Linked DNA regions of Pelodiscus sinensis. The protein of the gene in region 3 purifies or fractionates together with the protein of the main gene of each other region. This does not show direct contact. Links are inferred from orthologs where the notes say so. Each region holds a gene or a part of one and is shown on either strand. Other genes may lie near its edges. The genes, in order: ING3, NAP1L1, H2AZ1 and EPC2.

What was found.
Region 1: the proteins of H2AZ1 (region 3) and ING3 purify together in Homo sapiens (affinity purification with mass spectrometry; 5 studies listed by BioGRID and IntAct, with this or other methods). This does not show direct contact. The link is inferred for Pelodiscus sinensis from reciprocal best matches to the Homo sapiens genes H2AZ1 and ING3.
Region 2: the proteins of H2AZ1 (region 3) and NAP1L1 purify together in Homo sapiens (affinity purification with mass spectrometry; 3 studies listed by BioGRID and IntAct, with this or other methods). This does not show direct contact. The link is inferred for Pelodiscus sinensis from reciprocal best matches to the Homo sapiens genes H2AZ1 and NAP1L1.
Region 4: the proteins of H2AZ1 (region 3) and EPC2 purify together in Homo sapiens (affinity purification with mass spectrometry; 3 studies listed by BioGRID and IntAct, with this or other methods). This does not show direct contact. The link is inferred for Pelodiscus sinensis from reciprocal best matches to the Homo sapiens genes H2AZ1 and EPC2.

The regions. Positions count from the first base shown.
Region 1 is NC_134711.1:42,743,926-42,751,184, forward strand, and holds the start of ING3 (inhibitor of growth protein 3), read right to left. Parts: upstream 3,022-7,259; 5' UTR 2,890-3,021; coding exon 2,862-2,889; intron 2,727-2,861; coding exon 2,655-2,726; intron 2,622-2,654; exon of another isoform or gene 2,337-2,621; coding exon of another isoform or gene 2,246-2,336; intron 1-2,245. UniProt on the Homo sapiens protein: Component of the NuA4 histone acetyltransferase (HAT) complex which is involved in transcriptional activation of select genes principally by acetylation of nucleosomal histones H4 and H2A.
Region 2 is NC_134711.1:68,096,511-68,103,979, reverse strand, and holds the start of NAP1L1 (nucleosome assembly protein 1-like 1), read left to right. Parts: upstream 1-4,462; 5' UTR 4,463-4,605; intron 4,606-7,469. UniProt on the Homo sapiens protein: Histone chaperone that plays a role in the nuclear import of H2A-H2B and nucleosome assembly.
Region 3 is NC_134715.1:23,414,874-23,422,462, forward strand, and holds the start of H2AZ1 (histone H2A.Z), read right to left. Parts: upstream 3,013-7,589; 5' UTR 2,998-3,012; coding exon 2,770-2,997; intron 2,311-2,769; coding exon 2,233-2,310; intron 1,716-2,232; coding exon 1,602-1,715; intron 323-1,601; coding exon 193-322; intron 30-192; coding exon 1-29. UniProt on the Homo sapiens protein: Variant histone H2A which replaces conventional H2A in a subset of nucleosomes. Nucleosomes wrap and compact DNA into chromatin, limiting DNA accessibility to the cellular machineries which require DNA as a template.
Region 4 is NC_134717.1:26,031,037-26,037,939, reverse strand, and holds the start of EPC2 (enhancer of polycomb homolog 2), read right to left. Parts: upstream 3,019-6,903; 5' UTR 2,758-3,018; coding exon 2,605-2,757; intron 1-2,604. UniProt on the Homo sapiens protein: May play a role in transcription or DNA repair.

The DNA.
Region 1 (7,259 bases), on a different chromosome or scaffold from region 3:
AGACAACAATTTATCACAGGCTGAAAAAGCTACCACATCAGACTAAGCCTTTAATAGAACTCAAATAGAAGAAAAACATAGCCAGCTAGTTTCTGTGCAGGGCAAATCAAGGTATCTATGCAAGCCTATGTACATACCAAACAATGTCCACTTGCTTTTTTAAGTCCTTTGGGTAAATGGCTTTCAAGAAGTCAGGGAGAAATTCAGCTGCTCTGTTACACCATTTTAAAACCTAATCTTACAGCACATAGAACAATGGCATATGACCAATATGCCCAAAGAGCTCTTATTCTCCCCTTTTCACCAAGACAATAAAAGGTACTCACAGGAATAGTGACCAGATATCTAAATACTTCAGAACAATTTTTTTAAAAGCAAGGTTTTTTTGCTGGTTTAATAGCTTGTTCAGCCAAGTTCCTTTGAAATCCACTATGGTTAATAAGAGGCAGCTTTTGGGAAAAAAAGGTCTTCCCTCCCCTCCTTTGCGGGAGGAGGGCCAAAAGAATGAAGGGCAGCCTTTCCATTCTTTATTTTTTAGGTCCTCAAAGAGGTCTGGTACAGGACACAACCCACAACTTTTTCTTAATCATTGAATAGCAGCCCTTATGAGCCAATTTTCTAAAGACCTTGGCATTTCTCTTGCCAAAATGTTCTACCAGGGTGAAGGCATTTTCCAGAGATTGGCCTTAGGCTACATAAGCTTGGTAATCTACAACTTGATCTTAAAAACTTTCAACACATCACTTGAAGTTATATACTTTTTCTATGACTATTTAGTAATGAGAGGTTCCCAGTCCCCCAGATGGTCTAAAACATGGTGCAAGAGTAATTTTAATTCTAACAGAGAGGGATTCCTGGCCCAGATGTCACTTCTAAGTTTCTAAACCAACACCCACTCAAGTCAGTTGACTTACACAGCTGTTTTAAAAATTTTGGGAAGATGGGATCCTTGCATTGATCACAGTCTTGCTGCACCCCAAGAGTTCTCTGATTCATATGTAATGTCCAACCAGCAGTCATGATCACAAACAGCTGGATTGGAAGAGATAAGAAGAGTGCCTGGAATTTCTACACTACTTTGGAAAGCTCTACACTACTTTGTGAAGCACAAGAAACACTGGAGTTACAAAGGTCTGGGAAAAAAGTTTTTCTATTGACTCCCATGACATTAGGGTAATCTTGGTTAAAAAAAAAAATACTGTGTGTGAAAAGATTCACCCCCGTCCAAAGAAGCACCAAATCATGAGTCAAAGAGATATATTTGTGGTCTCAGTTAGAGGCTGCCAAAAATCAAAGGGCTGCAGGTTTTCTCTTGGTATCACCTACTTACATTGTAAGAACTAGCAACACCTTTTAAGTCATAATTCAATATCAATGACTCCAAGCCCTGAAGCCTAAAGTACACAAAGGCTGAGACACGTCGGAGTCCTTGGATATAGAGGGCAGGTGCAGAATGCTTCAACAGAGATGGTGAGACTGATGAACCAGACCCACTGGGACAACAAGAAATTTCAATGTTCAGAGATCAAGACTGGTTAAGGCTTTTATTTCAGAAACCTATGGATTGATCTATTGCTAGATGGATGAAAGTCTTCAGGATTGTGCCTCAAGGTGGCATTCTCCACCATACTTAAGTTAATTGGGTTACATCTGCAAGAGGATCCAAGGCACTACTGTAGGCCCAAACCTGTTAATTTGCTCATCCATTAAAGATCATCTCCAGGATATAGTATGATGCTGCTGAGTTGCCTTCCTACCTGTCTGAGAAATCAAGACAACATATGGAAATCAAAGAAATTATTTAAAGCATGATGTTTCAACACCTCAGATTCACAAAGAGCGGAGATTTCGTGAAGAATCATATCAAAGCAAAAACCTAATCCCAGGTAGACATCCTCTGTGGTATCCTGTCACTGAATCCCTACAGGAACAAGTGGTCAAAGGAAGTCAAAAGGCAGGACTCCCAAAAACAAAAGTAAAAATAGAAAATGAGCCATAAGTGGATGGCAAAAAGGAATACCACAAAGATACCCAAGAAGACTGGATTCCTGACAAGCACAGCTAGGGTGCCAGCAACCGGAAAAGGATGTGTAGGGAACTCCTTCATCCAGCATGCCTAGGCAGGGATGGTTCAGACACAGTGCACAGCCTCCGGCTGATAGAAGGGGGCAAGTGAAGCTCCAGCCCGTTGCCAGGGACTTGAGAGCCAGCACCCCACCGCTTGGTAAGTGCCACCTTGACTTGCCCTGGGGCGCCGCACAAGCCCCAGCAGTGAAACTCCTTCCCCCTGGCGTTGCCGCAGGGCATCTGCAGACCCGAATTCGGCTCGGTGTCATGTCAACACACCCGGCGCCGCTCGCCCATGGCTGCTCGAGGTCACGAGGCAGCCGGTGGCAGAAGGGAAACAGCTCGGCACGTTTCCGCCCAGCGCGCTCCGCCCCTCGCTGCGTGAGGCGCCGCGGCTACCCCCGGCACCCGCACGGACCGCTCGCTGGGCAGGAGCGTCCCCTCGTGCCGGGCCCGCTCAGCCCGGGAGCAGCGGCTACGAGCCGCGCTACCGCCGCCGGCCAACGCCTGACTGAGAGCGCTGGGTCCGCGCCCGCCCCCGCCGGCGGGCTGGGCGCGTGGGCGGGAGGTGGGCGGGACTCACGTACTCTGCACCTGTAGGTCCATCTCGCGCATCTCGGTGAACCTGTCGCGCAGATCCATGGGTAGCTGCTCGATCACTGCGGGGACACAGAGGGGAGGGGGAGGGAGCAGTCAATCACCGCCATGGGAGGGGGAGGGGGAGCCCCCTCGCTGCCGCCCCCGTCCCGCTCGGCCACCCGGCCGGCTGGGACCCCCGCCCCGCGCGCACTCACTCTCCAGATAGTCCTCCAGGTACAGCATGGCGGCGGCGAGGCCAGCGCGAAGGGGCTTCTCGCTAACGCGGGGATCGTCCCTTCCAATATGGCGCCGCCGCCAACAACACCAGCACCTCGACTCGGCGAAAACAACATTGGCGGCGGACGGGGCTCGTTCCGGCCCTGCGCCGATTGGCTGCCTGCGCCTCTGACGTACGCCATGGCTCGCGCCCGCCCGCAAGGTCCTGGGAAACGTAGTAGCCGTGTGAAGGCGGGAGCCGGGACTACATGTCCCACAATGCACCGCCCAGCGGCGGCTGCCCTCCTCCCAGTAGAGACGGACTCGCCCCGGAGTTGAGGGGCGGGGCTAATCCACGAGGCAGAAGCAGGCGGGGTGTGGAGCGCGTGGCGGGGTGCTGCCAAGCCCCAGCGCGATCTCCACGGGCCGGCGCTGGCCAAGGCACCGTGCGCTGTGCTCAGCCGCTGCCGAAGGGCGGCATCCAGGCTAGCCAGCTTCTGAAAGTGATTTTTATGGACCGTTTAGAAAAAAAAAATACAGACCCCCCCCCCCCCCCGGCTTGTGTTCGGACACATTCTTATGTAACATGAAAATGGCTCAAAAGGATCAAAGTGAACAATATTCTTTGTTTTAATTCATAGGTCACACAGCAAAGTTATTATGCTAGTTGCACCTACTTATTAGTCACATCAGAGCCCTCCAAGTTCTCCAGTGTGTGATGAAGTGACTGGGGGGAGAGGGGGAGGAGCTGGGACTGGGGGCTGCCACCAGTCCTGTGATTTACCAGCAGGCAGTTGGTGATTGATGCCCAGCACATTGTACTCATCTCTCCCAGTCCAAGGGAGCCAGGCAGAAGTGTGTGCTGCACACACACTCACCAAAAGTTGCTGCTGTGCTGACTTTAAGGATACCGAAACAGAGTTCAAAACTGGAGGCAGCATCCTCCAACCATCAGAGACTGAAGCCATCTTCACCAGGAGAATTCCCCTCTCTGCCCCTGCCATGGAAATTGTAGAGTCCCTGGAGCTGCCCAGTGAATCACAGAATCATGGAGGTTGGAAGAGACCTCAAGATATCATCCAGTCCAACCCCCTGCCCAAAGCAGGATCAACCCCAACTAAATCATCCCAGCTTTGTCAAGCTGTAATTAAAAAGCCTCTAGGGATGGAGATTTCACCACCTCCCTATGTAACCCATTCCACTGCTTCACCATCCTCCTAGTAATATAGATTTTCCTAATATCCAACCTAGACCTCCCACACTGCAACTTGAGACCATTGCTCCTCATTCTGTCATCTGTCACTATTGAGAACAGCCTGACTCCAGCCTCTTTGGAGCCCCTTTCAAGTAGCTGAAGGCTGCTATCAAATCCCCCCCCACTCCCCCTCCACACACACTTTTCTGTAGACTAAATAAGCCCAAATCCCTCAGCCTCTCCTTGTAAATCATGTGCTCCAGCCCCCTAACAATGTTTATTGCCCTTTGCTGGACTTTCTCCAATGTATCCACATCCTTTCTGTAATGTGTGGCCCAGAATTGGACATAATACTCCAGATGCAGCCTCACCGGTGCCGAATACAGGGGAATAATCACTTCCCTACATTTGCTGGCAATGTTTCTACTACTGCACCCTAATATGCCCTTAGACTTTTTGGCTACAAGGGCACACTGTTGACTCATATTCAGCTTCTCGTCCACTGTAATCCCCAGGTCTTTTCTACTGAACTGCTGCTTACCCAGTCAGTCCCCAGCCTGTAACAGTGCTTGGGATTCTTCTGTCCCAAGAACAGGACTCTGAACTTGTCCTTGTTGAACCTCACCAGATTTCTTTTGTCCTAATCCTCCAATTTGTCTGGGTCACTCTGGACCCTATCCCTACCCTTCAACGTATCTATCTCTCCCCTAGCTTAGAGCTTGCCTTGGCACCAAGTGGGAGGGATTCCTCAGCTGTGCTCCAAAGCTCAGTGTTTTTTAGTGATACCTAGATTTTTTTTATGGATTTTACAAACAGGTCCAATTTTAGCTCTTCTTTATGGACTGTTCATGAATTTACTGATGATTGGCAATCTTGGAAATGTCACATCCCATCATTCAGTGAGTACATGGTCTGCAAGGCTGGTGGCCTGGAGCAGGAGCACATTCTGTGGCAGTGAAGGAAAGCTGCACCGATGACCCTGCACTCCTTCCCTTGTGTGACAAGTGATCCTACTGCACCAGGTTGCAATGTCACTCACTCTGTTTTGGCATCTTGTCCGTAGGCCTTTCTGGAGAGTCATGGCCCAAACCTGAACAGGCAGTGGGAGACTAGCACTGCTGATCCTCCTTGCCACTTCCAACTGCATATCCTCTGTATCATGCAGGGGAAGCAGCATCACTGATTTTAAAATGTATAGTACTAGACATCAGGGCTGCATCTAGATTGGCATGATTTTCCGGAAATGCTTTTAACGGAAAAGTTTTCAGTTAAAAGCATTTTCGGAACAGAGCGTCTAGATTGGCACGGACGATTTTCCGCAAAAGCACTTTTGGCAGAAAAGCGTCTGTGCCAATCTAGACGTGCTTTTCCGCAAAAAAAGCCCCGATCGCCATTTTCATGATCGGGGCTTTTTTGCGGAAAACAAATCTGAGCTGTCTACACTGGCACTTTTGCACAAAAGTTTTGCACAAAAGGGACTTTTGCGCGAACGGGAGCAGAATAGTATTTCCGCAAGAACCACTGATTTCTTACAGTAGAAAGTCAGTGCTTCTGCAGAAATTCAAGCGGCCAGTGTAGACAGCTGGCAAGTTTTTCTGGAAAAGCGGCTGATTTTCCGGAAAAACTGGCCAGTCTAGACACAGCCCAGGATTCCAGTCAGAAAAAAGGTTGAAAATATAGCAAGTCTTTAAAAAGGCCCCAGAAAACCTCAAATAAAAATGTATTTTGGTGTTGAAACTAAACTAATTTTGGCTCTGTATTTTGGAGCCTGACTTTTCATTTCTGAACCCCTGAAGTTAGGAATACTGCACATGGGTCAACAATATGTATGTAACTAATATAATGTATATGTATTGTCAATGGGTGGAACTGAACCTGGGTCCTCTGGAGTTTAGTGCATGAGCCTCTAGAGCTTGAGCTAAAAGCTAGCTGGTTCTCAGTTGAGCCTGTAGAGCAAATGCATTCTTCTCGCTGTAAGTGGTATCAGTGCCACTACATGAGACAGTACATCACATCCATAAGGTTTGTGGGTTACATATGTACCAAGTGTATTATGCAACTAACTCCATATATTATCACATGAATCACTAATAGAGGCTGCCACTGTCCATATTCAGTTATTATATAAAATATGATGTGGGCCTAATCTTAAACCCACTGACTTGAGAATATTTCCATTGAATGCACTCGACTCTGGGTCAGGGCCAAAATAGGGATATTAACGTATAGCCATTTAAATGATTAACCCATAAGCCTAGACTTATGGGTTAACTAAAATAGCTACACTCAACCTCCCCTGCCCCTTTATCAGGCAGCAAAGGGGATGTGAGGCAGGAACCGGTGCCCAGAGGAAGCCGGCTTTTAAGCCATTTGTGCATGTATGCCAACTCCACAGAGCCCCCTACCCCCTCATCCCTCTGTGCTGCTGCCTCTATATGGGGGGCAAGTGGGATGCTGGTGCAGCTTCTGTTCATGGGGAGCTCAGACCCCCTGCAAAAAGGGGCTGCTGCCACCCCACCCTGCTGCCTCTGTATCAGAGGCAGCAGCGTGGGGTGGCAAGTGGGAGGTGGTCTGCATAGGGTGCCAATTTTTAAGCCATTTTTCCTTGTGGAGAGGCAGCAGCATAGGGTAGCAGGGGGCATTCCCTGGGAGTGGGGCTGGGAGCACACTGGCTGCCAGCCCTGGCCCCAGACTATTTTTAGTAACCATATAACTGCTTAAAACTGTTCCAACTGTACAGTTACTGAAATACATGGTATCTAACACCCCTAGTCCAAAATATAGGAAACCATGGCCCTCTCAGAGGTAATTAGACTTGTGGTTGAATTCCTCTAGTCTTTCATCATTTACTAAAAAAATGCCATTTCGGAATGAAGTTTTCATGTTTCATCTCAGTCCAATAAGGACAGGGTTTGGCTGTTTTAGTAGTAGTATTTCCAGAGAATTTAGGAACCCTAGTCATGTACCAGGACCCCATTATACTAGGCACTGTACTAACAGAATGAAAAGATGATCTCTGCCCCCAAACAGCTTGCATTGTAAATGGAGTTTGATGGGTGATGGGTAGAGAGTTGTAAATGGGGTTGATTTGTCAGCAGCATAAGAATTACCATACCAGTGCAGGACCAGTGGTCCAGCCAGTACTTCATCCTGATTCTATCTAGTGACTTGTATCAAAGGAAGGGACAAGGATCTCTATAAT
Region 2 (7,469 bases), on a different chromosome or scaffold from region 3:
CAGCTAGTGGTGTTGAGTAGATCTGGTTGGGAAATTTAGTTTATAAAAACTGAAATGGTTCACAGGAAAGGGTTGGGTGTGACTAATTATTTGACTTCAAAATGTTGAAAAAATTGTTTTCAGATTTTCTAAATGAAATATTCTAGTTTTCCAGTTTGAAAGGATTTTTCATTTTGAAATTTGAACTAATTATAGTAGAGATGTTAATAGTCAAAACTGAAATGAAATGTTTTGAAATTCTCAAAAAAAAGTTGTAATTAACCTGAATCAAAATATTTTTTTAATATTCAGATCATAGATATTTTTAAGATTTTGAATTTTTGTGCTGATTCAAGATAGGGTTTTTTTAATATCAGAAACATATTTACAGGATAGGAAAACTGTTTCCTGCCCAGCTCTCATGCTGACCTTTCCAGGGTGAAGTACACACTGCATTCTCTTTCATGTTTGTGCAATGACTAATCTAACTGGGAATCCTGCAGCACAAGCTTACCATGGATTCTGTTACTGTGCAAAAATTGAAGGTCTACCCTGAAAACTTAAAGTGACATAGTTATGTCTCTCAGGGGTGCGAAAAATCTACACCCCTAAGAGATGTAGCTATGCTAACTTAGCCCTTAGTGTAGCCAGTGCTAGAGCTACTGCCTTTTGGGAAGGTAGATTGCCTATGCTGACTGGAGAATCCTTCCTATCATGGTAGTGTCTACACTGAAGCACTACAGTGTAGTATCTAAAGCACAGCAGCTGTGTCACTGTAGGCTATGTCTACACTACATGTTTTTGCCTGTCCTGGAGAGGCATAAGGATCTTATGCAAAACAGGGTTTTTGCACAAAAAGGAAATGTCCATACTGCTTCTTTTTGCGCAAAAACCCCTGGCACAAAAAGAAACAGCAGAAAATATGCTAATCTTGTCACAGTTTATGCTAATGAGTCGCTCATTAGCATATTTTCTGCCACAAAAATGTGTAGTGTAGCCGTAGCCATAATGTTTAAGTATAGACCTACCCGGAACTAGTGAGATTGTTCTTTTCAGTTTAAAGCAAAGTGAGAAAGCTACATGATCCTCAGTGTTGCCATACTTTTGACCATATAACACACAAATCAGATGAACCTTAACTGCATCACAATAACTACCCAAAACAATAAGGACACTGACTTTCCAGTACATAGAATTTTCTGTGAAACTATTAAGTAAATTTGGGATAGTTACACGCACTCCAATGGATACAGCTATTTCTCTTCCCTCACCTCCTTTAGGCCCATTTTTTCATGTTCACTAATAAAATTATTTGTCCTATACTTTATTCTAATGATTTTATATAGCAATGGAAATAAACTACTTAATGTGGAATTTCTATCCAAGACTGATATTTCATTTAGGACCTGACCTTTCATTGCTATTTCCTATGGCTATGTATGCCACAACAAACACAGTTATTTACAAATTTGAATTCCAATCCATTGTTAGTTTGTGATGCTATATGGAATATGTGTGACTATATATAATATTATTGATGCCAATGTTACAAAATTGCAGTGCTTCTTACAAGATATGCCATGTAAGGTATCAGTGGAAAAGTTATGATGGCTAAATATGATAATCATGTTTATATGCACATATCATCTTTGTCTTGTAGTTATAAATGTGTGTGATATATTGATATTTCCAGCTTGTGCTGTGTATCTGGGTGACACCCTCAGACAGACTGGCATCAGCACTATGACCAGCATGCTCAATGACCTATTGAGTGCAATCAGATATACAATGAACCCATTGAAAGAAACATGGGGCTACACTTAAGAGTCAGCCAAACATGTCATGACATACCTGTGGACAGGGGACTCATGCTTTTTCTATGCCACATGCTGTGAGTTTGTGTTTGGGACAAAAGATATAGACACCACTGGCAAAAGATATAAAAAGCAGCTGCATCTTCTCCATTTTTCTTCACTCCTGTTTCTTACCTCTGGAATAACTTCTGTACAACTAAAGCTCTGAAAAAAGAACTGATAGACTTTCCATACTTTGGATATGTTTCAGAAAGACATTGCAAGCCAGAAAACTTACCAATGCAACTAAGAATCTGAAATACGTAATCTGAAGTCATATATATGTATCTGATTTCTCTGACAATTCTCTACTTGTTTTTTTTATATAATAAACCTTTAGTTTTATATATTAAAGGATTGGCTGGTAGCATGGTACTTTGGGTAAAATACAAACTAGTATTGATTTGATAATGTGGCTGGCCCTTTGTGGATCCGAAAACATTTTGTATGGTGAACAGTTTTAATAACTCCTCCCCTTACTGAAACTATTTGCTAATTGGGAGACAGAGAACTGAATGCAATAAAGGGGTTGTGTGATATTTTTTTTAAAAATTTAGCTTCTTGATAACTAGCATAGGGATCAAGAGCTCACTTTGGGTGCTATGCAAATTGCATAGCTTATTTTGAGGTAATTTCAAAATAGCTGTGTCTACATAGCACCAAATTTCAAAATAAAGCGCTATTCCAACAAATTCCTTAACCCTCGTGGAACAAGGGTTACAGGGATGCCAGAAGAGCACACCCATTATTTTAAAATATATTTAGAAATAACGGGCACGTTTAAAGATGCAGAATTGATACTTCCAGTATCCCGAAATAGCCCCGCTATCTAGATGTAGCCTTTGTGACTAGATGGTGAATCTAATCACAGTTTGTCACTAGTTTTGGGAGAATTTGCTCTCCTTTTCTCAGCCTACATTTTGACATTTTCAGTGTGGGTTACTCAAGGTCCCCCTCCAGTCACATAATAGTGTATTGTATGCAATCTCTAGTATATTTCATTTTTGAAATTATCACTATAACCAGGGGCGTCAGATCTTAACTTTTCTTCTCATATTTAATCTTATTTCAATTGTTTTCTTTTTTTGAGTTTATCAACTTTACATTATATCTTCTCCACATCCTGAAATTTATTTGGGCTTATGTCTAATGCCAATTTCTAGTTTATTACTTTTTGCTTCTGTTTTCTAGCTCCATGAGCAGCCTTTGTAATGTAAGACAAAAGTCACAATTTATCCTTGGACAGTTACAAATATTGAGAAATGAAGGATACTGAAAGTCTCTTATGTCAACAGGTGCACAATCACATCTCAGCATTTCATTTTATTCAGACCATGTCATTTTCTTTTGCCTTCTTCTACTGTATTCCAAAAGTTCCATACAGTATATTTCTTTAAATTGCTATCTTGAAAATATGCTTCTTGTGAGGAAATTTGTTCTCATTTCACAGAAGCAGAACCAAGTGCAAAACAAAAAGTTAGGAGGGAACTTCATTCAAATCTACACAGCAATTTGCATGCGTTGGTTGCTATCTCATGTGACAGTTCAACAGCACTTCTGTTGTGTTATCTGCAGAACTGTTTATACACAACAGTTTGTTTTCTGAGTTAGTGTTTTATTCTATGCAGGAGGGGATTGGACTGTGTTTGTCACCCTTTGGCTGGTGGGGTGTATGTTGTGTTTTGGCCTGCAACAGAGTGCAGGTGTCATGCGTCAGCCTGGAAGGGACATGACTAGCCTTAACATGAGGCAGAAGCGGCCTGAGGCCAGCTGTGACAGCTGGCGCCCCAGACGGAACGCGTGATCGGCAGGGCCATCAATGGCCTGACGTCATCGTCGCGCACCATGGGCGCCCCTGTGACGTCATCATCGGGCGACCCGGGCGGTGGCGCACTAGGCAGCGGCCAAGTCCGCCTATAGCCACAGACCGCCCCTGCCATGAGGTGAACTAAGGCAGCCGCCTCCGGTGCCAGACTGGGGGTGTGTGTGTGCCACTAGCACCCAGTGTAGAAAATTGTGTCTGCTGCTGGTACATGCGTATTCTCTCTGCAGTACCATGAGAGGAGTAGAACAGGAAGAAGGCAGAATTGAGACCTTTCAAAGTTTTGGCCCAAGCTAGGGACATGAGGGTGTCATTTGAGCTCCCTGCCTCAGGTGCCAAAATGTTGTGGGCCGGCCCTGTGAAGGGAATTTGTGTGTAGTATGCTCAGCCTGCGCTGCAGTGCACTGGTGTGTGATCACACTTGGGATTTGGTGGGATGGCTGTGTGAGCCAGATCACACTCAGGCACGTGTTTGCACTCACATTGTGCGTGTCTGTGAAATCTCAGGTGGGACCTGGGGGGAGGAGGCTGTGGGAGAGATCTCACGCGGCCCGGGCAGCTGCGGTCAGGGCGTAGGCGATGCCCACATGTGGGGTCTGGGGCTGTGCGCGCTACGCTCTGCGAGCTGCTTCCCATGCTTCGGCCGGGCTGCCCGAGGCTGTGCCCCGCCCGCGAGCCCGACCTCTTCGCGCGCCCGGTTGTCCGACCCCTCGCGGGACGGAAAGGGGCGGGGCCGATGCCGGACAGCTCCCGCCCAGTCACTCATCCCGGCGCGCGCGCGCGTTGCCTAGGGACAGGCATAGGCGCGCGGGGGAAGGGGGAGGAGGGGGCAACGTGGTGACGTTATTTCTATATGAGCGCGAGCGGCGGGAGCTTGGGTCTTTTTTACCGCCAGTCGCGCGGCGGCTTCTTCCTCGCTCCTGAGTCACTGCGAGCCCCGGCCCGGCGCAGGTAGCGGGGAGGCGGCTGGCGGGGGCCGTTGGCGGGATGAGCGGCCCGGCTGTGGACGGGCGGGGAGAGGCGGGCGGGCGAGGGGGGACTCGGCCGGGCCGGGCCCCTGTTCCGGGGTCGGCAGGCAGGGGCCGCCACGGGCAGGGCCGGGCCGGCAGCGGATGCGGCTGGGCCGGACGGAGTCTGCTCCCCCGGTGTCTGCGCGGCGCGGGGCCCCTCCCCTTTTGCGGGGCCTTTCTGCCCCTCCCCAGGGAGCAGCGCCGGGTCTGCCCCTCCCCCGGGGCCGCCATGCTGCTGGGGTCGCGCTAGGCCGCGCTGCCTCGGGCCTGGCGGCGGGGAGGGGGGAGGCTGCCTGCTCGCAGCACGTGGGGATGGCGCTGCTCCGGCCTGTGCCTGCGGGGAGGGATGGGAGCTAGGGGGCGGGGTGGGTGGATGGGGGAGGCTGTTCTTAGGCGGACTGGGGGGGGAGAGTGGGCTATGTGCGGTGGGGGGGGGGTGGGCTGAGGAGTGTCGTGGGGGGTGTGCGCCTGGGGTGGGTAGCGAAGGTGCCTTGCTAGCTCTGGCTCCTTGCGCTCTCCCTGGGAAGCGTGGCGGCTTCTGTGCTGCGCAACTTGTTACTGACAGGCGGACCCAGCGATTCAGAGCCTGGCGACAGATAGCTTGTTCCCCCTTCCTCTTCTTTCCCCCCGCCTTTCGAAGAGCTGGCTCTAGTCACTTCATAGCTTCCCCCCTAGTCATGGTACCTAGTGAGTTGGGCGCTGCATGCTCCTCCTTCTTGGTGCTTACTCACCATTCCAAGTAATGGTCTGGGTTATGGAGTGGTCACTTGTCAAAACGGAAACTTGATGTATTGGTAACCTCCATAACCTGAGCACGTGCCAAGCAGTGCAGAGGGGTTGTTTTTATAATGTTGCCAGTTGGGTAATACTACTTCTATCAGAATATATTCTCTGGTCATCTGAAGAAGTGGGCTGTGCCCACGAAAGCTCATGATACCATCTACATGTTTTGTTAGTCTATAAAGTGCTACCAGACCATTTATTGTTTTTTAAGTTTATCCCAAGAAACCAGGAAGGCACTTACAACATGAATTTCTATGGCAGTTCAGCTTAATAACATACACACAAAACCAAACCTTCTTTGGTTGGTAAAATAACTCTCTGAAAGTAAACGGAGGATAATCAATGTACTGATATTTTCCTTAATGCGTAGCCAAAAATTCAATATCTTTGCAGTAGCAAAGTGAAATTCATAAGATTTGTTAGCTGTTTGGAGCTTGCTGGATGGAACATTCATGTATAAACATCTTCATAAATGTGTAAATGATTAAAACAATTTTTCTAAGTTTCTAAGGGACCTAAAACAAGTCTATCTCCTGTTTCAATGCATTCATGTATAGCATGCTTCTTGGGAAATGTTAAGACCACCAACAGCAGAGGTAAATACTGAGATCCTCAGGGAAAGAGGAATCAAAAGACCAGAAGACTGGAGTACAGGCAGTCCCCGGGTTACGTACAAGATAGGGACTGTAGGTTTGTTCTTAAGTTGAATCTGTATGTAAGTCGGAACTGGCGTCCAGATTCAGCCACTGCTGAAACTGACCGCCAGTTCTGACTTACATACAGATTCAACTTAAGAACCCCAGGCGTCCCCAAGTCAGCCGCTGCTGAAACTGATCAGCGGCTGATTCCAGGAAGCCTGGGGCAGAGCAACTCTGCCTCGGGCATCCTGTAGTCAGCGCTGGTCAGTTTCAGCAGCGGCTGACTTGGGGATGCCTGGGGCAGAGCAGCTGGGGTGCTGCCGGGTTGGTCCAGTAGTGCCCAGAGCGGTGCTGCGGGACCAACCGGCAGTGCCCCAGCTGCTCTGCCCCAGGGTCCACAACAAAAGCCTGGTCTGCTGGGGGTCTCCAGCAGATCAGGGACACCAGGAGCAAAGCCAGAGGCGTGGGACCCCGCCGCGGCTGCGGCTTTGCTCCCGGTGTCCCTGGTCTGCTGCGGACCATCTCTAGCAGACCAGAGACACTGGGAGGAGGAGGAGAAAAGTAGACTGTCTGGCTTAAGAGAGTAGAGGCTCTGGAAAGTGTATGGAAGCACCCTTTTTAGCAGGTAGAGATACTAGGTTTCTTACTTGGCCTTGCCTGGGGGGGGTTGTGTCTGGTAAACTTTTCAAGCTCTTACCAGAATTATACTGAATTTAAATTGAAACAGGAGATGGACTTTTTAGGTCTCTTAGAAATTTAGAAAAATTGTTTTAATCATTTACACATTTATGAAGATGTTCGCTTATGTGAAAAGATGATATTGAATAGAGGTAGGCATTGTGCATTTGTGTGGCAGAGCTCTCCTGCAGCTCTTCTTTCTTGATCTGAGATTACTATTCTAGGTGGATATCACATTCCTGAGAATGTAACCAAGTGTTGCTAAATTAAATTTCTGCAGATCATTGACTTTGGTAGGAAGTTGTCCATTATCAGATTTTCCAAAGTACAAACTAACTACATGAAATAAATTCATTCAGAGATGTTAGAAATTAAACAGATGCCAAAGGAATAAAAACAATGTTGGGATCTTGTGTCGAATTAGTCTGTATTATCCCTATGGATGCAAGAGACCGCTTCCATCTCTGATGCATCACCCAGGAAAAGTCAGTTCTGCTCCACTGGATGTTTCAAAAACGTTTAGGTATTTGTCTATGGTAAACTGGGCTATGCATCTGTCCATCTTAACCTAAATTGGTCAGTAGTTGTATGGTGAACTTAAGGGAGAGCTAGGTGCTCCAGAAAGTGATGGAACTTGTTGGATTTTGAATGTGTTCATCTGTGGATTAATCAGATTTTGCACATGCTCACAAAATAACAAAGTGGG
Region 3 (7,589 bases):
GAGAGATTTGTGGATATGTGGTATTACACCTAAGGGAAAAAACACCAAGAATTAAGGCAATTTTGAAATGCATTTTCCCTATGTCATCCAAAATCCAGATAGTACTGCAATTGTGTATTAATTTTGTAAAATGCAATTAAGTCTATTTGACTTGAAGTTTAGTTTGAATAGCTATGAGTTGGAATTACATACCACCACCAGCAATTGTTGCCTTAATGAGAGAGTCCAATTCTTCATCTCCTCTGATTGCAAGCTGCAAGTGACGGGGAGTGATGCGCTTCACTTTTAAGTCTTTGGATGCATTTCCTGCCAGCTCAAGAACCTGCAGACAGAGTACATTCAGACCCTACCCACCATATAGAGATTGCAGTAGTTAATGACATCTTCAAAATAGCCGGAAAGATACCATAGGCTAGGGCTACATAGAGATCATCAGGGTCTTGTGTAACAGTTTTGCAGACTGCACTGTTAAGTTTGGACACAGTATTAACAGATTGCATTGCAGGATAATTCCTCAGTCTCCTCCCCATAGTTTGAAGGGGAAGATATTTTGCAAGAGTAAGGCAAAAGAGTTGTGACATTTTGGAAAAAAGTCACACATGCCTCCATGCAATATGATTGGGGTAGCTTATAAACCATTTCAGATCTGATCAAACAGTTTTAAAAGATCATTTAAAATGCAACAGCATCATAGCTATAGTGCTCTCACTACAGCATTTCAAGTGTAGGCATTACCTATGCCAACAGGAGGGGTTTTTACATCAGCATAGATAATAAGCCTCCCTGAGAAGCAAAACTAAACCAACAGAAGATCTGCCATTGATCTAGCATTATCTACACTGGTGATTAGGCTGCTTTAACTACAATGTTCAGAGGTGCAGATTCTTCACACCCTTAAGCAATGTAAAATGCAGGACAATGTAGCACTTTAAAGACTAACAAGATGGTTTATTAGATGATGAGCTTTCGTGGGCCAGACCCACTTCCTCAGATCAAATAGTGGAAGAAAATAGTCACAACCATATATACCAAAGGATACAATTAAAAGAAATGAACACACATGAATAGACAAATCACATTTCAGAACACGAGGGAGATGCGGGGGGGGAAGGAAGGAAGATAAGTGTCTGAATTGATGATTAGAGGTGGGGAGCATGGGATGTTTGAGTTAATGGTATTAGAGGTGATAATTGGGGAAGCTATCTTGATAATGGGTAAGATAGTTCAAGTGTTTGTTCATTCCTTTTTGGAGAGTGTTGAATTTTAACATGAATGACAGTGCAGATGTAAAAGGTCTTTGTAGCAGAATGCAGGTGGTTAAGTCATTGAGAGAGTGTCCTTTCTGGTTAAAATGGCACTACATTAAGCAATGTAGTGATCTCAACCTAACTTTAGTTGAGAACAGACCACAGGGACATCCGTTTATGTTTTTACCAACTTAAATGGGCTTGTAGGGGAAAATGATTAAACCAAGGATTCTTGAACACAACTCTACGACAAATTCCAATAGTAGAAGTATTTCAGAAGACAAGCAACCTTGGTCATTATGCAGCGCCAGCAATGTCAGCTGCTTGCCACATTTCCCCATGGTTCAATTTTACCTCAGCTGTCAGGTACTCCAGAATAGCAGCACTGTATACTGCAGCTGTAGCTCCCACACGTCCATGGCTGGTGGTCCTTGATTTCAAGTGTCGGTGGATGCGGCCAACAGGGAACTGCAAAGGGTCAGAATAGAATTAAAGTGACTCAGGCTTTATCAACAGACCTGAAATGGCTTGTAAGATAGAAGATACACCAATCATATCACATGGAAGGGCTTGGGACTGGCAGACAGACATCACTGGGATAAGAGTGTAAAGTTGCAGTCTTACACTTCTTGCTTCTCTACAGCACTCAGGCAGCAACACACAACTACCCCCTCTACACACATTGAGCGCTCAAGCTCATTGACTATAAAGCATACACCTGCAATTCAAGTAACTGTTTGAGTGCTTTTAGCAGGCTCTCCACCCTGAGATTACACTAGCATAGGTGTGATCCAGTCGTCCACTGTATGTTTTGAACAGTGGGTTGGACTAGACAAATTCCTCAACCTGATCTTCCATGTAAGAAGCTCACGATTTAAAAACCTTGCAATAAGAGTATTCTGCCGTAACTTTGGAGGGCTCTCCAGCAAACCCTTCCCAGTCCAGAGCGATTGTGCTATAAGCAGATAGCTCGCCCAGTCCTCACCTGCAGGCCAGCTCTCTGTGAGCGGGATACCGCCTTGGTCTTGGTCTTTCCGGAATCCTTTCCAGCTTTTCCACCAGCCTAAGGCAAAAAAGCAGAGATTAATGGGGAGCAGCACCTGCCACAAGCGCAGCGTGCCCCATGCTACCCCATACAGAACGCAAGCAGTGAAGGTAACCGGCGCGCGGCGCCTTAAGCGCATGCGCCTCCCGTATCTAACCAGCGTGTCTAATTCCTCCACGCTAGCAGGCCCAAGCAGCTTCCCGAGCGCATGCGCCCCACCCACTTCCGGTCATCGGTGGCGTCACTACTGCGCGTGCGCCATCTCCCTTCTTTCCTCTTCTCCCCCTCCCCCAACAGGTTTAGCATGAGCACCTCCCATTCAGGCAACCGCCACCACCCACCGTTAACCCCCTTCCTTCGCGCGCTTTCACCCTCCGCGGCGCGTTCAGTTCAGCTTCGGCCCTTCCCGCAGCAAGGCGACGTAGCCGCCGCACCCCCCAGTCTCCCCGCTGAGCCCCGTTCCTGCGGCTCTCTTACCATTATGAGCGGTGTTGCAGCGCCACAAACGGGTAGTAAGCGAAAGAGCGCGTGCCCAACCACACCAGCCCGAGCCCAGCACCCGCCGCGATTCAAACTGCGCCCGCTCCCGCCTTGCGCGAGCGCTTTATAACCACCGAACGTGCCCGCATCCGGGAACCCGGCTCCTGCTGCTAGCCAATCGACTGAGTGGGGACGGGCCTTCGCTGAGGCGCCCGGACCAATCATAGGCCAGCGAGTGGGCGGAGTTGGTAGGGTTGAGTGACTGACAAGAGCGGGCAACCCGCTTCCTCGGGTCCTCAAAAGACTCCGTCCATATTTAAAGTGACGTCACCACTCCTCGCTCACGGGCGTGCTGAGTGCGTGGTTCATTGGGTCGCGCTCCGGGGCGGGGAAAGGTGGGAGCCGGGGCCTGTGTCTCGTGACTGCTTATGCAGCTGCCCGGCATCCCTGCTGCCTGGCTCAGCACAGCGGGTGCCTGGTGCATCTATCAAGGTTGCTAAACGGGCGCTCAGAAAACATGAGTCAGTCCTGCCCCTCCCCCCCCCCAGGCTTGCCACATGGCTGTAAAAATCAGGAGCCTCGTGACGCTTTGTGAGAGGGAGTGTGACATGTTCCCTGGGGCTGGAGTACTCCGAGGGCACGTTTTAAGTCTCGATCTCTGTAGAGCAACTAGAAGCAGGTTTTCTTAAAAGCCGGTGAGATTATCTTGCAGCCACACATCATTCCAAGTGTTTTTAAGGAAGATACCACTTAGTGCAAGAGTTGGTCATGCTACATTTGTTTTCCCACAACAGCTTTTATTTTGTCAAATGCTTAGCTGCTCCTGCCTTCTAGACCAGTGGTCCCCAACCTTTTGGGGGTGCTGGGCACCTGGGGGTGGGGCCACTCACGTGCCGGGTACCTGGGGGGGGGGGGGGCTGTGCATGCACCCGGGGGCAGGGCCACCCATACGCCGCGTTCTCAGTGCTGGCGCCACCCATGCGCCACACTCCTGGGGCCGGCGCTGTTCCTATGCTGCACGGCCAGGGTTGGGGCTGCCCATACACCACGCTCCTGGGGCCGGTGCCACTCCTGTGCCGGGTGCCAAGGGGCGGGACCGCCCATGCACTGCACTCCTGGGGCCGGAACAGCCCATATGCTGCATGCCTGGGGCTGGTGCCGCTCCTATGCCACGCACCCAGGGCCGGCACAGCCCCATGCACTGCGCGCCTGGGGGCGGGACTGCCCATGTGCTGCGTGCCCGGGACTGGTGCCACCCCTGTGCCACGTGCCCGGAGCCAGCACCATCCATGCGCCACGCGCCGAGGTTCAGGGCCGGCCCCGATCACTCGGCGGGTGCACAGAAATGGCCTGGCGGGTGCCATGGCGCCCACAGGCACCACGTTGGGGACCACTGTCCTAGACTAAGGGGAGACTTTTTAGGACCTTTCCATTTATTCCAATGAGTCTCAAGAACAGTTACCCATTGCGTGTCTGCGGGAGGTGGGTGTACCATAATAAGGGTCTAGTCAGGGGCGCCCCGTCATTACGTCACGGCCATTGACGACCGTGCAGGTGGGGGCGCCAATCGCGCCTTCCACCTGGGGCGCCAGCTGCCGCAGCCAGCCTTGGGCCGCTTCTGGGTCTAGTCAAGTGACAATCAGGAAGGAAGATGTTTCCAATGGAGTTATCTTAACATGATTAATAGTTCTCTGCTCACCCTTCTCAAGCACAAATCTTTGAAAGCATATTGCAACCTATGTGTATATCTACAGAGGCCCTCAACCTTGAGTTAGAATTAATTGGCATTCTATACTCAGCTAAAACCCCATGTAGACATTTTGTCAGGAACTAGAAGTTTTTCCATGTAACTCCATTAGGTATCTTGCAGGTTTCTTTGAATTACCTGGTATTAATCACTGTCAAGATAGGAGACCAAAGACATCACTGATTGATGCAGTATGGCAATTGCTAAGTCAACTGTCATAAACTTGGTAAATGTGGTGGCAGGAGATGATTGGTGAAGCACTTTTGATTTAGGAATTCGTTTCCCATCCTACTGTTTTATTGTTGCTATGCTGAGAAACTGAAATCCTCAAACAGAATTAACTCAAAGTTTGATCTTGTTCTGAATTAAAACAAGAGCTTAAATTTAGAAGTTTTCAATGAAAAGGGCGTCCCTATCACAGCAAGGCTACGTCTACACTGGCCCCTTTTCCGAAAGGCGCATGTTAATTTCACAGGTCGTAATAGGGAAATCCGCGGGGGATTTAAATATCCCCCGCAGCATTTAAATAAAAATGTCCGCCGCTTTTTTCCGGCTTTTAGAAAAGCCGGAAAAGAGCGTCTACACTGGCCCCGATCCTCCGGAAAAAAAGCCCTTTTCCGGAGGATCTTATTCAAAGTAGGAATAAGATCCTCCGGAAAAGGGCTTTTTTTCCGGAGGATCGGGGCCAGTGTAGATGCTCTTTTCCAGCTTTTCTAAAAGCCGGAAAAAAGCGGCAGACATTTTTATTTAAATGCCGCGGGGGATATTTAAATCCCCCGCGGATTTCCCTATTACGACCTGTGAAATTAACATGCCCCTTTCGGAAAAGGGGCCAGTGTAGATGAGCCCCACAAGTCATCCTATGCTGAAAACTGAAAGGGCAGGCTGTCAAGAAGCCACTCCCAGACTCCTCATCAATCCACCAGATAGAAAGTCTGGCAGGATTCCATGAAGCCCTGCCTGCTTGCCATCTAGCCTTCATCAAAATTAAACCATCTCTACAGAACACTTAAAATTTTGACAAATCAGTATTCTGAGGGGAAAAAGTCTATTTATAAGTGCAAGATAAGGTCATTTTCAGACTTGCTGGAGAGGATAATACTGTTATTTCCTCAAGTAATGTTCTGAGGGAAGACGGGTCATTTTAACTTTGGTCAAAAGTTTCAGAATATTTTATGTGCATACACCCTCAAAGATTTAATGATGGGCGGGCTTTATAAGTAACAAAAAATAAGAAGTCCCTGGTATTTATATTGTAACAAGTTACTCTGCGTGGACCTTCAACATATCTTACTCAATGAAAGTTTCAATTGTCTGGCAATCTAAGCAAGTGGCATTTTTAGATATTGCAGCATTACCATCTTGAACGTACCATTAGCATTTTATAATAGTCTTCATCTAAAATAGAATTTATTTGATCATTGTATAAGGTGTCTCCGGTGACAAAGGGGCACATTTTTAAAGTTATTTGGATGTCTGAAGATGTAGGATTTTTAACTATGCCTGGGGTATTCAATTTCTACTGAAGTAATTTTGACTTGCTCACCCGGGTACTTTTGAGAATCACTGTAGGACCCTGTCTGCCTCTTTAGATATCTAGGGCTAGATTCACAAATAAAACTGGTTTCCCCTGACGTACAGTGAATTCTCAGCCACTGGTGAGCCATCCAATGCATGGGGAAAGTTAAATACCTACAAAAGGGGGTTGAAACCTCCACACACACTCCTCATTGGTGGGAATGGCTCAGATACTTTGGTGGGAAATGTCAAGGGGCAGGGCCAAATTCTTCAGAGGTAGTTAAATTCCTTGACTGAATTCACAGCCGCTACCTCGCTTCTGCAGTGAGGTGCCTAAGGCAGGTCAGCCTTTTCTTGTGTCAACAGCCACATCCATCAGTGCTAATAAGTCAGTGGTTAGAGCACTTGCCTGGGATGAGAGAGACCTGCTTTCAAATTCTTGCTCTGCCTGATTTGGAGCAGCAATTTGAACTTCATTTCCTACATAATGGGGGAGTCCCCTGGCTATTGAGCAGAGAGATTTCATGGATGACTCTGTAGCCTGTCTGGCTGCTGGAGCATTTGCCTGGAAGGGGAGACATCCAATCTCCTTGAACTAGTGATCTTTTAAAAAAGTTGTTTATCCACTTTGGACAGCTTTTATGGGAGAGACTGAGGGAGCCCCACATCATAATACCCCATTGCCTAACAGTTAGCTTAGTTCAAATCAGAGAGAGTGTGTGCAACTGAGGGTGTCCCACATCCTGGGTGGGAAATCCACTTCTGGACTAAAAGTTTTGAGAGGTCATGCCCCTCACAGGCTTCTTGTTAGAACACTTAAAGAAGCTTTGCGCAAAGAATCCCAATCAGGAAGAGACACCTCCCTGCAGACTGGCTCAAGAGAGGCATGGGGCTTTACACACCCTCCCTCTCAGCTTGGCATCTCCCACAGCTATTGTAGAAGCAGAACTACCTACCATGTTCATTTGTGTGAATCCCATAGTGAGGTACTCAGTTCTCCCCCAGCCAACCTACAGGGATCCCAGGCACCTAATGCAGGCTTTGTGAATAATGGTGCTTTTTCTAATCACTGGTAGGTGTTGCGAAGTTGAATATCACTATGCCAAAGTTTCTTTGTAAAGCTAGTGTAATGAGCTGATGCTGTTCCAAAATATGGATAGATAAGGTCACACTGACACTGCAAGAATAATCCACTGCAAGAATAGTTTAAATAACTAAACTATTTAACTATTTAGTCACTAGTTCCCTCCCCAGCCATTGTGTATAGACAGGCTGTTATAGCAGGAATCCCATAACTGTAATTTCACTGTAGACAGAAAAAAAAAATCTGCTACGAGTATATGTCCAGCGTTTTTCAAATCCTAATAGCAACAAAATATTTGCAGTGTTGGATTTTTTTGGAAGGAAAAAAAAATCAAGTGCAGACTTTCATGCAATATTGCTGTTGTACAATTAGGTATTTAAAACCTAACGTGCACTTCTGGACAACCTGAACCTTAATCTTGCCTTTTTATATTGTTAGTTTTAATGTGATCCACATCCTATTTCTTAA
Region 4 (6,903 bases), on a different chromosome or scaffold from region 3:
GGTTCAGGTTTGGGAATCTCCCCAATACTCTCAGCCGTGAAGACTGAAGCAAAGACTTCATTTAGCTTCTCCACTATGACTTTATCATATTTAAATCTAATTCTCAAACTTCCATTAAAAACAATTTTCTTGCACCAGTGGACAAAAGTGTAAAAAGTAAAGGTAGTAAAAACAGTTGCAAACATAGTGAAAACAATCTTAATCAGTAGATCTTGAAATTCAATGAGAAATAATAATTCAATGAGAAATGTAATGAGAAATAATGATGACATCGTTATATATTATACCACACAAATCTCAGTATGTAATGACCTTAGAATTTAACATATACAAATTCCCTCCCATTTTAATGTAATGGGAGCACTTATTTTGTTCATACATTAAAAATCACTTACACATTAAAAGGATTTTATAATATATAAGTTAGCCCAATACCCTCCCCGCCCCCACACACACACACACACACACACACACACACACCTCTAGTGTAACAATAACACAGGCAATTTATGACATTTTCTCCTCAACAACAGAATACAGAACTCAGAAAATTTGTATTTGATGTATTTACTTAGTTTAACAAGTAACATTCTGAACACTGGTATATTTTAAGATTCTAAAAAAAATACTGATAAGGTAAGATAATGGAGATTGCCTATCTCCTAGAACTGGAAGGGACCTTGAAAGATCATTGAGTCCAGTCCCCTGCCTTCTCAGCAGGACCAAGTACCATCCTTGATGAATTTTTGCCCCGAACTCCTAAATGGCCTCCGCAAGGATTGAACTCACAACCCTGGGTTTAGCAGGCCAATACTGCCACTTATATTTTTTAAAAGTCTAAATCAAGAGTCATGTTTGCCTTTTAAAGAGCTTCCATAATTCACAAACAAGCAATATGTTGCAAGGTCTGCTACTGTGACTTTTAAATTACATTTTACTGCAAAGGAAAAGTAAAACGTACAATCTCCAAGTTTGCTTTAAAATTATTGTTTTATGTTTATACTGTTCAGAATGTTTTATGGCTGTCTGTTTAAAATTATCTAAATACACACATATATTCCAGGGCAATTGCAACCTCTATGATCAAAATACAGCGAGAGCACTCTAAGCGTTGATCACAAGATTTCTTTCAATATTCTACTGTATTGAGAAAGCCAATCAGAGAGAGTTGGAGCCTTCTTCTGACAGCCACAACCTCTGATAAGCCAATCCATGCACATAGTGGGCTGGCTACAAGGCGGAGACAGAAATTCATTGAAGAAATTCTTATGGGTGCATTTACTCTCCACTCTGCATACAACTACAGCAAGTCTGATGAAAACCTAGTAGTGCAAGTGGTAGTCTTGAAGACTACAGTCAAGCAGCACTGCAATCATGGACAGCAAGTATTCACAGTGCTGTCCTAATGCTGACAAGACTCCTCTTAAAATTATTTTCTGGTAAATATACAGACAGCAATGTATCTCTACACACAGCACTGCAAAATTGGACAGCAAGCATTCTACAGGTGATACGTTTCCTAACATTGATTAGCTTACTTAAAATCATCTTAACACTAAACAGCATGTTGTATACTAGAAAATCTAGGTCTAGCTATAGATCCAGTTAGAGCTATGCAATGGTATTTCACATATTCAACATACAGTTACCATTTTTCTTAAACATATAAATACAGAGCATTCTTACAGCAGTGATGATATATTTACAACTATACGATCTGCAACAGCAGACAGCTGGTATTCTACTTGCAACATTTACAAAGCCTTTCCTAAAGAGTGTAAATAATGCAGCCTGCACCCGAGTGTGTGTGTGTTTTGCAGGCTGCAATATCACCCCAAGCACAGCAATGGAAAGATAAAAAGAAAAGCTCCAAACATGTTATTTTAAAATATTGACCAACGAAGCACAAAAGCTTTACATTATAATGCCCACGGCCGCTACAGCACCGCGGCAATGGACAGCTGAGCTACTGCAAGCCATGCATGCTCCCGACACTGATGCATCAGTTAACATCCAAACTCAGAAAGTAAGTGCAGTCTGTATTTGACAGCTTGAAATATAATGTGGGAATAGGGTCTCCCACCAAGTTATTTCACTCTCGAGTAGCGTCAGGGACGCTGATACCCATAGTATGGCAGCTTAGAAGCAGGACACACTTCCATTTTACAATGCAAAGCCTTCCTGACTGCACGGAAGGAGCACAGCGTAGACAGCCCCCTCCACTCCCCTGCTGCCTTGGAGTCCCACATACACAACAGTGAGGAGTGCAGCAGCACAAGCACGCTACGCCAAGAGCGGCCGGCGCGCACACTGCCGCATTCAAAGATGCCTCTTGCGCCTACTTCTCCCTTACGCTAGCGTAAGGGCCTCCCCGGCTAATCAAAACACTCGCGAGTTTGGACGCAAAGAAGATGGCGGAGCAGAGCCCGCTTACGGCGTCGGAGGAGAGTTTACGCTGCGCTTCTTGCGCAGGACCCATAAGGACCACGCAAGGCTGCGGCGTTCAGCGTGCGTAGCGCGCTTGGCGAATACCAATGGCCTATTTCCCGGGAGGGGAGGGGGTGTCTGATAAACAATGGTGCCCCCCCTGCGCGGCTCCCTTACCGATTCCTCCTCCTTCTCCATGCCCGTGGGCATCTGCGGCACGGCCCGGTTGATGGAGACGCAGTCGTTGAGGTCGGGCATGTCCTTGCCGCGGTAGATGGGCAGCGGTTTGGCGGCGTCTAGCGCCCGGGCTCGGAAGGAGAGTTTGCTCATTGTCTCCCCCTCACAATAACACCCCGGGGCCGGGCGGGCGGGGGGCCCCTCACTGCGGCCGCGCCGCCGCCTCCCAGCCGCTCCCGCACGCGGCCCACAACACCATGGAGAGCCCCGCCGCCCCGGCTCAGCTTCCCGCAGAGCCGCCCGCAGCTCGCCGCGCACGCCCCGCAGCCCTAGATCCGCGCCGGGCTCGCTCGATCCGCTCCCTGCGCCATGGCAAACATGGCGGACATTAACCAAAGCGGCCAGCGATCCCGGCAGCCAACGCGAGAACTAGCGGGCGGGGGGGGGGGGGGGGGGGAAGGATGGTGAGGGAGTGAGAGGGGGCGCCGGGCTGCGCGCGCAACCAGCCTGTGGCGAGGGCTTGAGGGAGAGCGCGGCGGGGGCAGCGCGACCCTGGCTGCGGGGTGAGGGCTGGGCAGGCGGCCGGGGACAGGAGTTCGTGTCACGGGCCGAACAGGTGCGTTCACCCGACTCCTCAAGCATCCGACGCGGTGACCTGCTCGAGTGCGTGTCTGTGTGTACACACTCCTGCCCTCACGTGCGCCCGGCCCCGTCCCACGCGGAGAGCGGTACCGCTGCCCGCTGCGCAAACACCTGCATGGCCCGTCGCCAGACACCACCGCCGCCTCCTCCGAACTGCCTACCCCCAGCAGACCGGGATGTAGCTCTCCCGCAGCATGAAGCTGCGCCGCACACAGCTGCAGATCGTACACTAATACATATTTTTCCATGCACCTATCACCTGGCATTGCATAGCCCTGTAGCTCCCTCATCCTTTCATGCATTATTCGCATATTGCAAGGGGAAAACACTTGGCACAGCCAATTGTACACATGATGCCTTTGAAGCAAATGGGAGATTTGGTCATAAACTTAAAAAAAAAACACAAGGATTTCTGCCATGGTTCCCAAAGCATCCTGCAGTGTTAGCTAGAGTTACTTATGCGCAGTGCTTTTTTTGTGCAGGTACTGTCGGGTACTCGGTACCCGCACCTCCAGACGCAGTACCCGCACCTCCAGTCAAAGCTCAACAACTTTTCCCCTGGTGTACCGGCACATTTTTTTAATCAAAAAAAAAGCACTGCTTATGCATGAGGTAATTCCTCTTGGTAGCCTATTTCCTGTGAGAGCAGTCAAATCACAAATAATGCATTAGCATCCCAGAGTAGCTCAATCCCCACTGTATTACTACGGGAGTGGCAAAGTATCAGAGGGGTAGCAGTGTTAGTCTAAATCTGCAAAAGCAAGGAGGAGTCCTGGGGCACCTTATAGACTAACAGATTTATTGGAGCATAAGGTTTTGTGGGCAGAGACCCACTTCAGCAGGAGTGGCAGCAGCACTTAGCTCAAGCAGGAAACTTGTGTCTACACAGGTCAGAGGTTAAAGTTAAGAAGCAACATAAGTTTAAGTTGAGCTAATAATGCAAAGACGACGAGTCCATCGTTTCTCTCTTTTCCCTTGGTGTTCTTGGGGCAGAGTGTACTGCCCCCAGTACTCCTGGCTGGGGAGGCTGGACCCACATGGCTTCCTTCCTCCCAAATGCTAGGGCTGCACAGTGTGCCCTCCTCTCTCTCCTACTGCTTCAGGGAGCATGTACTTGCTCACCCCGTCCAGTCTCTTTCCCTCCCTGTGGGGTGTGCTGCCCCACCACCACCTCCTGGGGAGGAGAGCAGGCTCAGCACAGGGCAGGGCTGTAGGTGGGGGCAGGCCTGCCTCCCCCAGTCCCAGCTGCACCAACCACCCATACTCAAAAGCTTGTTTCTTCATTGATCCAAAACAGATACTACCTCACCCACCTTGCATCTTTAATATCCTGAGGATGCCACAACTACAAATTACCCAATTAGGAATTTAACTAGGTCACTTGAGTTAATATACTGTACTTACATTAATGAAAATGAATGGTATCTTTACTTACCAAAAACAGTAAGAGCCTATGGTGTATCTCATTTGAAAGTTGTTAGGCCAGATTCTTACCTCAAATTTTGTCTGATTCAGCACCTGTTAAAATAAAATGAAATTTTTCCATCGACTTCAGTGAGATTTGGATTAGGTTCATCATAACCTCTAATCAGTGGCAACTGTTCGGGAGGAACATAAGGGAAGCACACCAGTCATGTGACTGCCCCATGTGACTCCTCCCTATGCTACCCTGAGCCCTGGGGAGGGCCCCCTCTCTTCCCATCACAACCTCATATCTTTCCCCAACTTCCTCCCTCAGCAACATGTCCTGAAGAATTAATGGGGTGGGGCCTGATCCCACTTGCACTGAGTTGCTGTTTTCCCCACTGATGAGTGTGTGTGTGGGGGAGAGGGGGCGACCCCCTGAAGCCTATGCCCTTCCCTCCATGGCAATTTGGGGAACACATGACCCTTTTGTGTTCGATCCCCACGTGTTGCCCCTTGCCTCTAATCATGCAGTACTTAAACAAAACCCTGACTGACTTCTTTAGGCCTTCTACACAAATCTGTCAAATACCTGAGCTCGGGATTCCATGTTTCTCCTACGGAAGTTGATAATATAACTCAGGGGACTAGTTAGCCATCTAAAATTTGGATACAAGTTAACTAACACTATCATCCTACCCACCAATGGGAGACCATCTAAACTCCCAGGTTACGTCTACATTGGCAAGATTTTGCGCAAATACTCTTTAACGCAACAGTTTTTGCTTTAGAGTATTTGCACAAGAGAGCGTCTACACTTGCACGTGCCTTTGCGCAAAAGATGTGCTTTTGTGCAAGAGCATCCGTGCCAGTGTAGACGCTCTCTTGCGCAAGAAAGCTCTGATGGCCATTTTAACCATCGGGCTTTCTTGCGCAAGAAATTCATGTTGCCTGTCTACATTGGCCTCTTGCACAAGAACAGTTACGGAAGAGGGCTTATTCCTGAGCAGGAGCATCATAGTTCTTGTGCAAGAAGCCCTGATTTCACACATTAGAACGTCAGAGTTCTTGCGCAAGAACTCCCCACCAGTGTAGACAGGCAGCAAGTTTTGTGCAAAAGCGGACACTTTTGCGCAAAATCATGCCAATGTAGACACAGCCTCAAAGTAGAATATCATCACTAACACAGTAATAGAAATGTAGCCGTGTTAGTCTGGTGTAACTGAAGCAAAATGCAGGACTATGTAGCACTTTAAAGACTAACAAGATGGTTTATTAGATGATGAGCTTTCGTGGGCCAGACCCACTTCCTCAGATCAAATAGTGGAAGAAAATAGTCACAACCATATATACCAAAGGATACAATTTAAAAAAATGAACACATGAAAAGGACATATCACATTTCAGAACAGAAGCGGGATGCGGGGGGGGGGGGGAAGGAAGGTAAGTGTCTGTGAGGTAATGGTATTAGAGGTGATAATTGGGGACGCTATCTTTGTGACATCTTTATGATCTGGACACATGGCCAAGAAACACTAGAGATATTCCACAGAGATTTCAACAACCTACACCCCACCATCAACCTCAGCCTGGACCATTCTACAGGAGAGGTCCACTTCCTGGACACCACAGTACAAATCAACAATGGAAAATTAGACACCACTCTCTACAGAAAACCCACTGACTCATACAGTTACCTACATGCTTCCAGCTCCCATCCAGAACACACCATACGATCCATCGTCTATAGCCAAGCCCTTCGATACAACCACATCTGCTCTAATCCCACTGACAGAGACCAGAAACTTCAGGATCTCTACCAAGCATTTATAAACCTCAACTACCCACCCGGAGAAATAAAAAAGCAAATTGAAAGAGCCAGACAAATACCTAGAAACCATCTACTTCAAGACAGACCCAAGAAAACCAACAATAGAACACCACTTGTCATCACCTACAACCCCCAACTTAAACCTGTCCAACACATTATCAATAAACTACAGCCTATACTGGAACAGGATACCATACTCCAAGAGGCTCTGGGAGACAGACCCATAGTCTCCTATAGACAACCACCTAACCTCAAGATGATTCTTACCAACAACCACAGGACATACCACACTAATACCAACCCTGGTACCTTCCCTTGCAACAAATCCTGTTGCCAGCTTTGTCTACATATTCATTCTGCTGATACCATTATTGGACCTAACCAAGTGAGTTATAAGATCAAGAACACATATTCCTGCGCAT